Alligator mississippiensis: one gene and its partner. The protein of the gene in region 1 purifies or fractionates together with the protein of each later gene. This does not show direct contact. Links are inferred from orthologs where the notes say so. Each region holds a gene or a part of one and is shown on either strand. Other genes may lie near its edges.

Region 1 (6,899 bases):
TCGCTCCACAGACTCGGTGCGCTCCTTCCTCAAGCGCAGCAAGAAGGGCCGCTTCAACGAGGAGGAGGTGGCCCAGAAGGAAGCGGAGCAGGCGCAGAAGCTGGCCGAGGAGAAGGTCCTGGCCGAGGCCATCACGGTGGGCGCCCGCTGCGAGGTGCGCATGGCCGGGCAGCCCCTCAAGCGGGGGACGGTGATGTACGTGGGTGAGTGTCGCGCACCCCTGCTCTGGCTCCCAGACCCCGGTGTCTCTGGGGTGGGGGGAGGTTGTTGAGGGATTCCCCCCCGTCCCTGGGAAGTTCATGAACAGCCCCCAGCCCTGCTCTGCGTCCCACAGCTCTTTCCCCAACCCGCCGCCGTGTCCTGGGCAGAGTTCCTCTCCGGGTCCCGCTCCCCTCCCTCGGGCAACACTGCGCACTTCCTGGCCCGGTTCCTCCCTGCCCTCCAGGCACCCCCCAGCCCCAGGGGGACGTTTGTACCCCAGGCCACGAGCCGGCTGCGCCCACCTGCCCCTGCCCAGGTCCCCCGACAGCAAAGAGACCCGTCTGCTAGCGGGGATCGGGTGTGCTCTGACTCGCCGCCTCTCCCTCCTCGCCGCAGGCCTCACAGAGTTCAAGCCGGGCTACTGGATCGGCATCAAGTACGACGAACCCTTGGGGAAACACGATGGCAGGTAAGACGTCTGCTCCCCTCCCAGGCTTGGCTCTGGATCGGGGCCACGAAGGATTCCCGTGGCCCCAGCGGAGAGAGCCCTGCTGCTGCCGGGTCCCTGCCTGGATGCATCTGCCAGAAGAAGGCAGCTTTGGATCTCGGGGAAGCGTTTCTTCCCTGTCGGAGCAGAGAGGCCGTGGGAGAACGGCCCAGGGGAGCTGTGCACTCCCCATCGCTGGAGGGCTTCAAGGAGAGGCTGGGCAGGGCTGGGCTGATGCCTGTGCTCTGCGGTGGGGGCTGTGCTGGTCGCCCCCCCTTGCTGCTGAACGGGTCTAGCAGTAGTCAGCCCTGACATGACCCCCATCCCTTGCTGCGCTCAAGGGGGGGTAAATAGATGCTTCAGAGACGCCAGGCCAAGGCCGTGCCCCCGCTGCAGAGGAAGGCAACCCCCCCAGTTTGTACCAGTATGAGCAGGGGGGAAATCTCTCCCTGCCCCCAGTGCAGCGTGGGGCTGAGTCTGAGCACGGGGACAAGACCCTCCAGCCAGGACCCTGCAGGGTTGGTGCCAGAGGAGCATCAGCGCAGCCCTGCACCCAGCGCCTCTGGGGGAGGCTTCAAACCCCCTCCCCGCTGGACACTAGCAGAAATGGGGGCAGCCCGCACAGCCCAGAGCCCCCACAGCAGAGCGCAGGCACCGGCTCCCCCCGCCCAGGGGCTGCCCAGCCTCTCCTTGAGCCCCTCCAGCAATGGAGTCCACAGCTCCCCCGGGGTCTGTCCCGCTGCCTCCCTGCCCTGACGGCAAAGCGTCTCCCGAGATCCAGTCTCGCCCGACCTCGCTGCAACGTCAAGCCGTTGGCCCCGTCCCCGTCTGCACCCAGAGATAAGGCTCTCTTCCTCTCTCTCCAAGTGAAGGTTGAGAGGCGACCTTGTGGCTGCCTATAAGTTCATCCCGGGGGCACAGAAGGGAATTGGTGAGTATTTATTCACCAAGGCGCCCCCGGGGGTTACAAGAAACAATGGCCACAAGCTAGCAGACAGCAGATTTAGACTGGACATTAGGAAGAACTTCTTCACGGTCCGAGTGGCCAAGGTCTGGAACGGGCTCCCAAGGGAGGTGGTGCTCTCCCCTACCCTGGGGGTCTTCAAGAGGAGGTTAGATGAGTATCTAGCTGGGGTCATCTAGACCCAGCACTCTTTCCTGCTTATGCAGGGGGTCGGACTCAATGATCTATTGAGGTCCCTTCCGACCCTAACATCTGTGAATCTATGGCAGTCCTTCATGCGCTCGCAGATGGCTCTCAAATGCTGTCAGCAGTATCAGGCCTCCACAGAGCCAGGGCAGGAGCCTGGTGGGGCGCGGGTGGCTTGAAGCGGGCGCCTCCTGCCTCCAAGGAGAGCTGTGTGCGCCCAGATCGTGGGTTGGTTCTGTCCCGGGGCTCCTCAGGGCAGTGTGGACCCCCTGCCGCTGGGTCTCCGTGCTCGGCGCATGGGCCTCCCATCAAGCCCCTGACCCCAATGCCTCTCTGTCTTCTCCTTTTTTCCTCCCCCGCAGCGTGAACGGCCAGCGCTACTTCGAGTGCCAACCCAAGTACGGTGCCTTCGTGAAGCCGCAGCACATCACGGTGGGCGACTTCCCCGAGGAAGACTATGGCCTGGAGGACGAGATGTGAGGGCGGAAGGGGGTGGGGGGAGAGGCCGAGGCTGCCCCCCGCCCCTCCCCACCCGCCCTTTCACGGGGCCATCGCGGCGCCCCGAGCTGCTGGGCTCAGACCTGGGCGGCGAGGCGGAGCCGCGAGAAGCAGCTGCACTCCTGCTTGTATCCGTTTGTTCAGTGAAAGATGCCACTACTCTATTAATAATATTTATTATTTTGCCCCCCTTCCCCACCCGCCTAACACCGTGAGACTAATAAACCTGCCCAGATGTATCTGACCTGCCCACGGAGCAGCGGCCCGGGAAGTGCTTTTATGCCGCAGGTTCGGCTTGGGGAGGGGATCAGACCGAGAGCCGGGATGGCCCTGAGCCGGCCGGGGGTTTGGCAGAGGGTTGGAGCTTGGGCCATAGGTGTAGGACTCTCCTTGGCTCTCAGCAGCGCCAGGGTCCCTGGGCCAGCAAGAGGGTTGTAGCCTTCGGGGTTTGGGGTGGTGGCCGGCTCACCCCCCCCCCGTCCTGCTGTCTCGGCGCTGCTCTACCCGGGGAGGATCCAGTTGTGCCGCGGTGCGTTTGCAAGAGTCCCCCCTTCCCAAAGGGGAGAAGCGCCCCAGCTGATGCAAAAAACACCCAAATGCCCCAGGGACGGGCTGGGAACTCAAACAGGGCTGGATCCATCGTGGGGGTGTCTCTGCACCCCCCCCCCCCCCCCCCGGGGGGCAGCTACCATCCCCACCACAGTGCATAGCCTCGCGGGCACTGCAGCAGGGAGCCCGCAGCCATGAGTTAGGCCTTGCCTGGCATCGCTTTCCCAGGGCAGGCTGCCACGCTGCGTGGTTTCCCCGCAGGGATCTGGTCCCCTACTTTGGGGCGCCCCGGCAGGGCTGGGTCGTTCCAGCGCCGCGCGGCTGGGGTTGGGCTGCAGCGACAGGCCTCCCCTGGCTGGGTCAGCAGCAGCTCCATCACAGCTCCTGTGCGATGCGGCCCTGACACCACCCGGACGGGGAATTGATGACTTCTAGCTTCGCCACCCTGCTTCGCTTTGAATTGCCATCCAGACCAGACCAGACCAGACCCCCACACGGGTCCTTAGGCCAATAGCTTTAACCCCTGCTCATCTCCGTCTTGGCCCTTGACCAGTGGGACTTCGGGGCTCTTCCCCCTTTGGCATCTCAGGCCCTGCTGGGCTGTGTGTCCTGCCTGGCACCGGGCACAATTCATCACTACAACCCCACTGGGACCCCGCCGCCCCCTCGGGCAGGGGCGCTCCCCGCAGGTCAGGATAGTTGGTGGTGCCGGCTGTTAATTAATTGGTGGGCAATTAATACCGCCCAACACCCCACTGCCAGGTCAAGCCCCGTCCCCTCCAGCCCGCAGGGTCAAGCCCATCCATGGGCCAGGCTGTCTCCCACCTCCCTCCATGCGGCCAGAGGGGCCCTGCTGTGCCCACCCCGGGCACTGGAGTGGGACCACCAGCTGGATCTGGCCCACGGGCTAACGCCTCCGTAGCAGCACAGTACAGGGCCACCCGCCTCGCTGCACCAGGGCCAAAACCTCACTCGGGAAGTCTCCCACGGGGTGCCTACCACTGCCCTGCCTCCGGACGACACCCGTGAGCGTGGGGCAGCGCTGCCAGCGCTCGGGCACTGGTCTCCGGTCCGGCTCGGCGCAGCCGGGGGCACGGGCCCTGCAAGCCGTGGGCTGCTTGGCCCACGGGACTGTTTCTCGGTGCCTTTTTTCCACCCGAAGTCTCCCTGGTTCGCGGCGGGGGGAGTGGGGAGCACAGACAGCTTTGCTGGTTGAGCCGGGGGCAAAAGGCTTTTCTCCCTCCTCGGCAAGCCACAGCCCCACGCCCTCGCTGCTCGGCGAGGAGGGGCACGTGCGCGCGGGGCGGGGGTCAGGACGAAGCAGTCCGAGTGCACTCGGGCAAACGCTCGCAAGCGGAGTCTGCGCTGGCGGATGCCGCGACCCTGGACATCGCCTCTCCCTGCTCTTCGCTCCCAGCTCCTGGCTAGTGCCCGTTTTCACTCGTGGGCTAGATCAACCCCCGCGCAGCCCGCAGGGACAGCGCTCGCGGCTTTCGAGGTGCCCGCCGGGGACGAGCGCGCTGCCCCTGCCCCTGCCCCTGCCCCGGGAATGGCTTTGGCCAGGTCTCCAGCCAGGACCAACAAGAAAGGGGGGGGCCGGCTTGAGTCGAGCGGGAGCAGAGGGGCATTTCTGCACAGCCGCTGCCCCGAGACGACAGCATCGCTCCCCCTTCATTCCTGGCCCAGGCCCAGGGCCCCTACCAGGAAGGGGCAAGACGAGGGCTCGGAGGCCGCGCGGAGCAGCTGCGGGCGGGGACCCGGGCCTGCGCCCCGCCCGCCCGCCCGCCGCTCGCTTTCGCCCAGGGCAAGGCGAGCTGCTCCTGTCGTTCCTCGGCGAGGAGACGGAGGTCCGGCAGGGCTTTATGAGACTTCAGGTTGGAGGGGGCCGGGGGGGGGGGGGGGGTCGCATCTCGTCCAGCCCCGCTCCCAGCAGGCCCAGCCCCAGCCACATCATAGATTCATAGACGTTAGGGTGGGAAGGGACCTCAATAGATCATCGAGTCCGACCCCTGCATAGGCAGGAAAGAGTGCTGGGTCTAGATGACCCCAGCCACATGCCCATCTAACCTCCTCTTGAAGACCCCCAGGGTAGGGGATCCCAGCCACGGCTCTGTCGACCCCGGGCTTCAGCACCTCCCAGCATGGAGGTTTCCTCCCTGCAAAGCCTGTTCCAGCGCTTCACCCCCTCCAAGCCACCCCAGACCCTCGGCCCAAAACTACACGACAGAGCCCCGACCCTCGCCCGGGAAAGCTGCGGCTGGGGGTGCACCCAAGAGCCCCCAGGCCCTGCCCCCACTGCAGGGCACGGCAACCCGCCCCGTCCGGACCAGTCTGAGCAGGGGGGAAAGCCCTTCCTGCCCCAGTGCAGCGCGGGGCAAACCCCGGACCGCCCCGACCCCTGGCCGGAGCCACATGGCCGGGGTGGGCGGGGCCTTGGCCGCAGTGTATCCGCCGCAGCCAATGGGGAGCGAGGCCTGGGGAAGTCGGTGTCTCAACGTTCCAGGCCGGATCGGAAGCGGAGGTAGGACGGGGGGGGCGGGGGTTTGTGGGGTGGGGACGCGGGGGGGCCGGGCCGGGCACGGCACTAGAGCTGCACGTGTGCATGTTAAGACAGAAAAGCGGGTGCGGCTGTTTGCACCCACATGTGCAAAACGGCACACGGTGGTTTGCATGCATGTGAATGGGGGGGGTCTTGCAGCTGCTCACACACACGTGCAAACGGGGGTGGGGGTGCCCGGTTGCTTGTACATGCATGCGTAGAAGTGAGCGACACGATTGAAGAGGAGCCTGCACACTTGCCTGCACACGCATGTGCAAAAGCGGGGGGGCATGAAGTCTCATACATGCATAAAAAGGATCCCGTGTGCTTGCTGCACGTGTGTGTGCAAGGCCACGGGTTCCCGTGGCACTGATGCCCGCCCCTCTCGTCCCTGCCAGCGCCGCCCCTCGTGCCCCATGGCGCGGCACAGCCAGCTGCAGCGGGAGGTGCTGAGCCTGTACAAGCAGTGCCTGCGCGCCGCCCAGGGGAAGCCGGGCTTCGCGCCCCGCGTCCGCGAGGAGTTCCGGAGGAACGCCGCGCTGCCCGCCTCCGACGTCCTGCGCATCGAGCACCTGCTGCGCCGCGGGCAGCGCCAGCTGCAGCAGCTTCGGGACGCCCGCACCACCCAGCTGGGCGTCTTCCTGCCTCCCGGGCCGGAGCCGCGGTGACCCCGCGCACCGATGCAGCCGGGGTGATGCCGGGGGCTTGGACTTGGACTGGTCACGAGTGAAACCACGGCAGGTTCCTCTGAGCCGTTCCCCAGCGCGCTGGGGTGTGACCCCGTGGGCAGCACTGGCCAGAGCGGCTCCGTCCAGCAGGGAGCACGCGGACGCTGGGGTTGGGGTCTTGGGGCTGGGGACGCGGGGGGGTCGTGTCCTCCAAGTCCATCCTCGCAGGACAGGCGTGTTCCCGACTCGCACCCCCCTGCCTTCGTTTTATACAGTTCAAGTTCAATTATCTGGATTTCCACCCGTGTCTCTGATTTAACCGTCCCTTGGGCAGTGGAGCAGGGAAACTGAGGCATGACCTGTGCCCATTGCCCTATCCCTTGGCCCCCTTTTGGGCAGGGGTGCTCGACCTCTGGCCTGCGGGCCACGTCCAGCCCACGGGATAGAAATCGGGTCCCCCACGCCCTGCTACTGTATCTCCCAGCCCCACGTCTCCGTGTGCTGCATGCAGCCGGTCAGGAACAGCACCTGGTCCCAGGGCCCAATCCTGCTGTGGGAGGGGGCAGCGTTGCCCCCACCCCAAGCTCCAATCCCAGCATGCAGGGGGAGAACGGGGCTGGTGCCTGGTCCCTGGGCCCCGATCCTGGTGCACAGCGGGCTGGGAGGGGCAGCGTGAGTGAGAGAGCAGAGCAGCAGCTGGAGCTGCGGGCACAGGGCAGGGAACACAAAGCCAAGTGGCAGATGGGCCAGGGAGCAGGGTGAGAGTCTGGGGGCCCGGGGCAGGTAGATTGGACACCGGGCGGGAAG
Region 2 (7,563 bases), on another chromosome or scaffold:
CACCCAGAACTTAGAAGATATTGTTGACTACACAGCGCAATGTACTTTGCTCTCTCTATCAGCTGCTGCTTAATAAGCTACATTGTGCATTAGCTGGAAGTTTCAAAATGAGCTTGAGGTGGCTCCCTTCATAAACAGCACTGTGGCGATCAAGTCATGAAAAAAAATAAAGACATAGGGAACTGTACAAAGGTTTCCATATCTCAGAGGAAGGCTGTACCCTTCTTGCTAACTGCAGAGGGGAAAAAAGCTCTTGCTCATAGCTCAAAAAGTAGCAAAGAATTTACACAATATCTAGAGTTACGAATCGCATCATTAAGCAGCATAAGCATGCGTGCAGTCGTAGAAGGGACCAACATAGTTTCCACCATTTCCACAGAATCGCCTTCTCAATCTACGAGCCAAGTAGCACCTCCATTTAAGCGCACACATAACTACTGTGTCACGTCCCCAAGTCACACTACTCTTGAGCACACGCATGCCATTAACATACCTTGGGGACACCAGCTTACACACACTGAGAAATAAAGCTGCACTTTTAAATGTGCTGGGAGACATCCGAGCTGGAATCTGCATCCCTGACAATTCTGCCTGCACGTGAAAGGCCGGTGTAACCATCCAGTTAAGGAAACTCTACTTGATGGCTGTACTAAGGGTCGTTAAGCCTAAACACAAGATTTGGTTTCATCTATGCTGGCAAAACCACATTGCACTATTGAGGCACGATCATGCTACACTAATCACAGTGTTTTCCAAACAGCAGCTAGAGAAGGTCTAACTTAAGCCCACAGCCACTCTTACATGCTTTTTCACAGGTCCAAAACTGAGGGGCGACGTAACCTGCGCAGGTCAGCCTTCTGGCCGAGTGCAAGTGCCAAGCATGCGCAAGTTTCAAGGTGCATACTTACTTATTCAAGTCAATCTCATAGGTCTGCATGTGGGGCTTGTCCTCATACTTGTCCGGATCCCATCTGTAGATAGCAAATTTCTTGATCCGTGGCTCTGTCTGGAGAGCGGGAGCTGCGGCAGCTGCTGTCTGTGCCCCACGGCAGACCTGCACCCAAATCAGAGAACAGCCTCTCAGAGCTGGTCGGCAGCACCACCACCAGGACGCAGGCCCCATCCACATCCCAAGGAGGCGATGCAGCCGCCTCCGAACACTGCTGGACGGGTACTCGGACGCTCTCAGGGGCTGCACAGCAGATGTGCCTGTTGGTGTGTACTCAGCGCAGCTCCAAAGTCATCTTGAATCTGGGGCTGGTGACTGTGCACGGCTGGCATCAGTCTGGCACACAGATGGCATGCACACGCCTGGGCGTGCCAGACCAGGATGGAGGCCCTAGCCAGGATGACCCCACTAACTGTAAGGCTGTCTTCCTACCCCTCTTCTGCTCATGTCTCTGGGCAGCCTCCCCTGGCTGCCTGGATTCATCAGAGGGCCCGTGGGCGCTGGCTGGTGCACTTTGCTTCACATCCCCCCCTTTGCAGCACTTGTTATGAACCCCGCTCCCATCCCCGTCTTCACCTGCGCTGCCCCACGGCATCAGCGGATGCACAACGAGCGACCCCCCCTCTACTAACGGAGCACTTTCCTCGGCGGGCTCACACCCACAGCTCCGCATGCATCAAACCTTCATGGAGACGGCGCTGCCAAAGCAGCGCTCATCACCACAGAGAGGAGGATGTGGAGCAACGGCTTGACGCTGCAGCAAAACGCATTTAGTCTGGAGACTGGGACAAACTCCTTTGCTGGTAAACCGTGGCATGGACACCTGGGGAAGCTGCGCGCTCTCCACCACTGCAGAGGGGCAAGCAGAAGCTGGATGCATCCTCATCGGGGCCGATTTAGGCACCACAGCGCCTGTGCTCTGCTGGGGGGGGGGGGTTTCCCACACTTTGGCAGCAGGAAGGTGGGTGAGTAGCAGTGTCGGGGGGATTTAAGCCTCCCCCAGAGGTGCTGGCTGCAGCCTGGGGAGGGAGACCCGGAGGGTCCTGCCCGTCTGCTCGGGCTCGGCCCCACCTGCACTGGGGGCAGGAAGGGATCCCCCCCGTCAGACTAGCCCAGCCTTCCCCTACCGCGGGGGCACGGCCTCTGCCAGGGATTATCACAGCACATTAATATGATATCACATTAATGGTGTGTTATACCATATTAGTAGCACATTAATAGCACACGATGCCATATTAGTAGCACATTATACCATATTAGTAGCACATTAATAGACATTAATAGCACACGATGCCATATTAGTAGCACATTAATAGCACACGATGCCATATTAGTAGCACATTATACCATATTAGTAGCACATTAATAGACATTAATAGCACACGATGCCATATTAGTAGCACATTATACCATATTAGTAGCACATTAATAGACATTAATAGCACACGATGCCATATTAGTAGCACATTATACCATATTAGTAGCACGTTATGGTATAATGTGCTATTAATGTCTATTACTGATGGCACATGATACCATATTGATGGCACATTAATAGTACATGATACTATATGATGCATCATATATAATATTACTACATACTACATTCCTATCTATGTATATACACACGACTGCACTGAACGTATCTCTATAAATTATATTACATAACGATGCAATGCTAGTATATAGCAATGCACGGCACATAACATCATGAGATAGGTACTTATAGTATATATGACACGTATTATACGATATTATGTTACACTTACGCTATATTATACGCAGGACATTGCTATAAATCAACACAGCGTCATTATATAGATTAGCATATCCTATAATAATAATAATATATATAATTAATCATAATATAGCGGCTACTACGACGGATAGCGATGATGCAATCACGCTGCGGCCCGTCACACGCCAGGCGGGCGCAGCCCCCGCCCCCACCTGCAGCGCGGCCGCCCTCAGCACCGGCCCGGTAACGCGGCGCCTCAAGGAGACTCCGACCACGGCCGCCGCCATCTTGGATCCCGGCAAAGTCCGCCGCTATCCCACAAGGCCGCTGCGGCGGAAGCAGGAAGTCAGGGGGCTGCGTGAGAACCAATGGGAAGCCAGGGTGGGCGGGACTAAGGGCGCGGAGGCAGGACGGTTAGGCGAGGGAGAGGTGGAGCCAACGGGCCGACGCTGTGGAAAGGGGCCAAACAGGAGGAGCCAATGGGAGGCCAGGTAGGCGTGGCTTACATGGCGAGAGGCCATGTTGGGAGCGCGGTGGGGAGGAGGAGCATGGGGAGGGGTGTTGTCCTTGCTCTGCCTCAGTTTCCCCGTCCATCCTGAGGGAGGCCCGGCGTCTGTTTGCCGCCCTCAGCACCGGCGCCTCAAGGAGAGACTAGATAAATCGATCGAGCTGTATATATATATATATATATATATATATATATATATATATATATATGTGTATAATAGATGGATAGACCGATATAGCAGTGTTTCATTTTAATCATGGAAAAATGTGGATTTGGAATATGTGGAAATCATGGAAAATGTGGGTTTGGAGTTAAAAAAGTAACTGAAAACCGGGGTGTTTGTCCTAAACCAGAGGCAACCGGGGTCCCTGGCGATGGGTCTGACTCGGCGCGAGCTGTGGAGAGACGCAGAGGCCGGGCCGCCGCGTCCACACGTGCTGGCGGCGGAGTCGCGCGAAGTGGAGCACAGCGGGCCTTTCCCCAACACCGTGTCTGACAGACTAGCTCCGTCTGAGTTTGTGATTTAGTTAGTCTCGAAGGTGCTGTTTTCCCCCGCCTTCTACCTGGCTGCTAACTACCCGCCGCTGTCCTCCCCGGCATGCCGCAGCGCGGGAGCAAACGATCCCCCGGCTCCGTCGTGCGGTCCCGCGTGGAAAGATCGCCTGTTATCGAAAGCATTCGTTCCTGTGAAACCCCGGATGCGCTCCTTGCTCCCAGCAGCAGCAGCCGAGGGAGGTTTCCCCCCGAATCTCCCTCTCACGCTGCTTTCTCTCCCGGGTCTTTGAGCGGCAGAGTCCGTCTGACACTTGCCATTTTGACACGCGTTTATATTCCCATTCAGATCCCCGTGAGGTTCAATGTACGCCCGTCTGCGGTGCATATCCATCAATTTAGGATTGTCTTTAAAGTAGCAAATAGGAACTGTTGGGGGAAGTGACTGTCATCAACGTTTCGTGTCTCTCGCTTAGTGCCGTCTCGCGCAAACCTCACTCTTTTCTCTCTCGACCCGTTATTTCTAAGTTGTTTGTAACTGACTTAGGGACTCATCAGCACGGAGGAGGGGGAAACCTCATTTAAAACCAATACGTTCATTGTCGTTGGAGACAATCTCCGTGGGAACAGAATTGGCCCGTCTTGCCTTTTAGTCTGGATCCTTTTTAGTCTCTTGACTTCCTTTTGCCGTTCAAAGCATGATTTTTATAGCATTTGGGGACCGACCGTGATCCCTCTGTGGCCAGAATAGCAACTGCACAGTGCTTAGCTTGCAGTAAATTGGGTGTTCATTTGATCTATGGGTTTTGCACAGAAGTGAGCCAGAATTTGGGATGAAAGACTACAATGAGCAACTCAGGAAATAGAGGTGGCCAAAAGAGGAAGGGTGAGGTGCAGGTCCCCTCCCCAGTTTTTAAGAGGCTGGAGTTTCACCCAAAGGGGCTGTTTCTGATTCTTTCGTGACAAGCTGGGAGTGCTATGGGCTGGCCTGCAGGGCAGTACGGACCGCGGTGAACAGCTGGTGTCAGCACAGAGCGCAAGTTGAAGCCGTGCCGCACGCTTGCAGAGCATTTTGCTGCACTGTTTCCAGATGGGTGTTTGTAGCAAGTGGCTAAAAAGCAGAGCTCAGTTAAAGCACCTTGCAGGGGTGCTTGAGGGATGAGTTCAAGCCTTGCTTTGATCCTATCCCTAAGGCTGCTCCCCAGCTGCAAATGGGGACCCAGTTGTCTGGGAAGTCAAAGGTGGCTGGAGATCAAACTAGCCACACTAGGCTTGGGCACGCCGTTCCCTAAAACCAAGTTCTCAAGTGAACACCTCAACAGGGGAAAAAGTCCAATTTGTGTTGTAGTTGCTGAGAAAATTGAGCAAATCCTTTAGTGAATCCCAGAGTCTTTGCCACCTACTGGCCTTCTTACACCCCCCCCAGCAAGCTGCACGTATTCACACTGAGTGTGAATCAATTTTGCATCCAGCTTTCTTTTAAAGAGGGGTGTTTTGCTGGCACTGAAGTGAGCAAGTGGTCACGAATCCTTCTGCGCTGCTGCATTCATGGGAATAAAGGATCCACTAGATCCCAGCACGTTCCAGGGATCTGGTTTGTAAACGATTGATTAGCTGAGATGAAGTTCCTTACGCTCTAGTGATGCTCATGTAAGTCACGTACTGCATGCATACCGTAGGTCATTGCCCATCTATGATGTGGGAGGAGCAGCAGGGTGGGGAATCGCTCTGAACCTTTCCGACTCCCTCTGGCAACCCATTTCCACCCTGACCTGTAGCAGCCCATTGCTATTCCTGTCTTGGGACCCCCTACAGCTCTGACCTGCAGCCTTCCCTGCTATTTCGATCCTATGCCTCCCATGAGCTCGCCAGTCATGCTCAATTGTGCCAAAACGTATAGCTGTTTTATGCATTGGACAGTTGTCCACTGAGGACTTGGCTGAAACCACGTGATTGACTGGCACTTAGGAGCTGACCTCAAACAGCATTTGAACTGAGGCTTCCTGAGATGAGTACTGCTGCTTTGACCACAGAACAATTGATCATGCTGGTCGTACAATATGCCCTTTGTCCAGACAGGGAAGTTATTAGGATCTGGTCACTTTGGGGCAGTATTGAAGGAGCCTTGGGGCTAGCTGCTATATGGGGTGGGAACCTCTAATTTTAAACAGTCTTCCACAAATGTTGCCATTGCTGTGCACTCACTTGTCTTTTCTGATCCACTGCTGTCTCTAGGCAGCTGGGTTAGCAATTATACGTGAATGAAGAGAGGTGTGCTTCCATGTGCCCATGTGGGGATACCAGTAGACCAGGGCTCAGTGAAGCTGACTCCACCTGCTCCCTGGGGCAAGTCACTAAAGCTGTGATTCAGATTTCCCATCATAGGAGGATAATAATCCTTCCCATCTGTCTGCCCCTTGGGGTCCCTTATTAGGTGCATACAGAGCACCTAAGAGATTCGCCCATCTCAGTTAAGGCCTGTGGGTGCTATGGCAGTGCACACACATAATTTCTCATCTTCTTGGGACTCTATTGATTGCATGAAGTTAAACTTGATTTATACCACTGGGTAAAGGAAGAGAGAGAAACCAGGATGTGGTTTTGTGCCCTCAGTTTTGAAAGACTCTGGCTTTCTCTTTGGCTGAGAGAAGTCTTAGCAGCTGATCTCCCTCTGCACTCATTGCCGGTGGAAAATGTAATCATTGCTTTGTGAAAAAAAACGCGTATGCATAAGTCACTGCCACTTGTTAGGAATCACAGTGGGAATTTGACCTGGGCTCATTAAGTGGATGTTCTCATCTAATCAGCGCAGTCATTGCATCACAGGTCAGCTATGTATGTCTCCTGTTTGCTTTGGCTGAAGGGCGCTGAAAACATTTTGCACAAATTGACAAGCATAATTAGACCCTTCATTTGGGAGGAAGAATATGTGTGACAAACGGTTCTATCTTCCGAGATGGGGGAGAAGGGAAATAATGCAAGCCCCTTCTGGGCCTCTGTGGGGGGAGGGTATCGGGTGAGCCCCCGAGGTGAGAAGTCATCACCCCAAGCTGGGTTTGCATTTCACATATTTTAGGACACTTCAGCTGCTTCAAGTTAAAAGTGGTCAGGCACTCGAGCAGGATGGTAACCCTATCCCGCAGCACAACAAAGACAGGCGGGTTTGGAGCTGACCAGCTATGTGGTGCATCTCCAGACCATCTTCACTCCTAGCGGCTGGCAGGTTACCAACACACAAGGCCATACCATCAGGTGACCCTCCCTGGCAGTGTCCTGACTGAGGGTCTTGCACTCTGAAAGCCATTTGTTATCCTTTGAGCACCTTGGGACTAAATTTAATCTTGGCGCTGGGCATTGGTGGCATGATCATCTGTGACGACGCTGCCTTCCTGCGTGCCCCAGCTTTATGGGGGCTGGAGCCTTCCCTAGTTACACATCATCTAATCTGATACCCCCTGTTCTTCTAACTTGATATCCTTGCTGCATGCCTTGGGATTAGCCCTGTCTCTACTCTGGATGTCGACAATTCTTTGCACAGGCAAATAGTGCCTCTCACTTGAGGATCTCAAAGCACTTTCCTCCCCCTTTATGAACGATGGGGAAACTGAGGCACAGATAGATTTATTCACAATCATGGGGCAAATCTACAGCAAAGCTGGGAACAGAACTGCGCCAGCAGCAACTCTGGTTACTTGCACAATTTGGACCCCTTTCCTGGGGGTCTGGAGTCACAGGAAGCCTGCAGCCAGAGAAGAAGGAAAGGATCTCGGTATATCCTTTCCTGCTTGGTGCAGGTGGCTGGACCCGATTATCTTCCGATGTCCCTGCCGGCCTTATAGTCTGTGAATCTAGATCCAACAGTGCAGAGGAAATTAA

The links. Proteins that work in one complex are often made in the same cells at the same time.
Region 2: the proteins of SDHAF1 (region 1) and SDHB purify together in Homo sapiens (co-immunoprecipitation; 3 studies listed by BioGRID and IntAct, with this or other methods). This does not show direct contact. The link is inferred for Alligator mississippiensis from reciprocal best matches to the Homo sapiens genes SDHAF1 and SDHB.

The regions. Positions count from the first base shown.
Region 1 is NC_081838.1:888,179-895,077, reverse strand, and holds SDHAF1 (succinate dehydrogenase assembly factor 1, mitochondrial), read left to right. Parts: upstream 1-4,783; 5' UTR 4,784-5,406; intron 5,407-5,822; 5' UTR 5,823-5,840; coding exon 5,841-6,092; 3' UTR 6,093-6,381; downstream 6,382-6,899. Other genes in the region: TBCB (tubulin-folding cofactor B), read left to right, coding at 12-203, 598-670, 2,201-2,318.
Region 2 is NC_081836.1:3,543,814-3,551,376, forward strand, and holds the start of SDHB (succinate dehydrogenase [ubiquinone] iron-sulfur subunit, mitochondrial), read right to left. Parts: upstream 3,005-7,563; 5' UTR 2,975-3,004; coding exon 2,900-2,974; intron 1,055-2,899; coding exon 909-1,054; intron 1-908. UniProt on the Homo sapiens protein: Iron-sulfur protein (IP) subunit of the succinate dehydrogenase complex (mitochondrial respiratory chain complex II), responsible for transferring electrons from succinate to ubiquinone (coenzyme Q).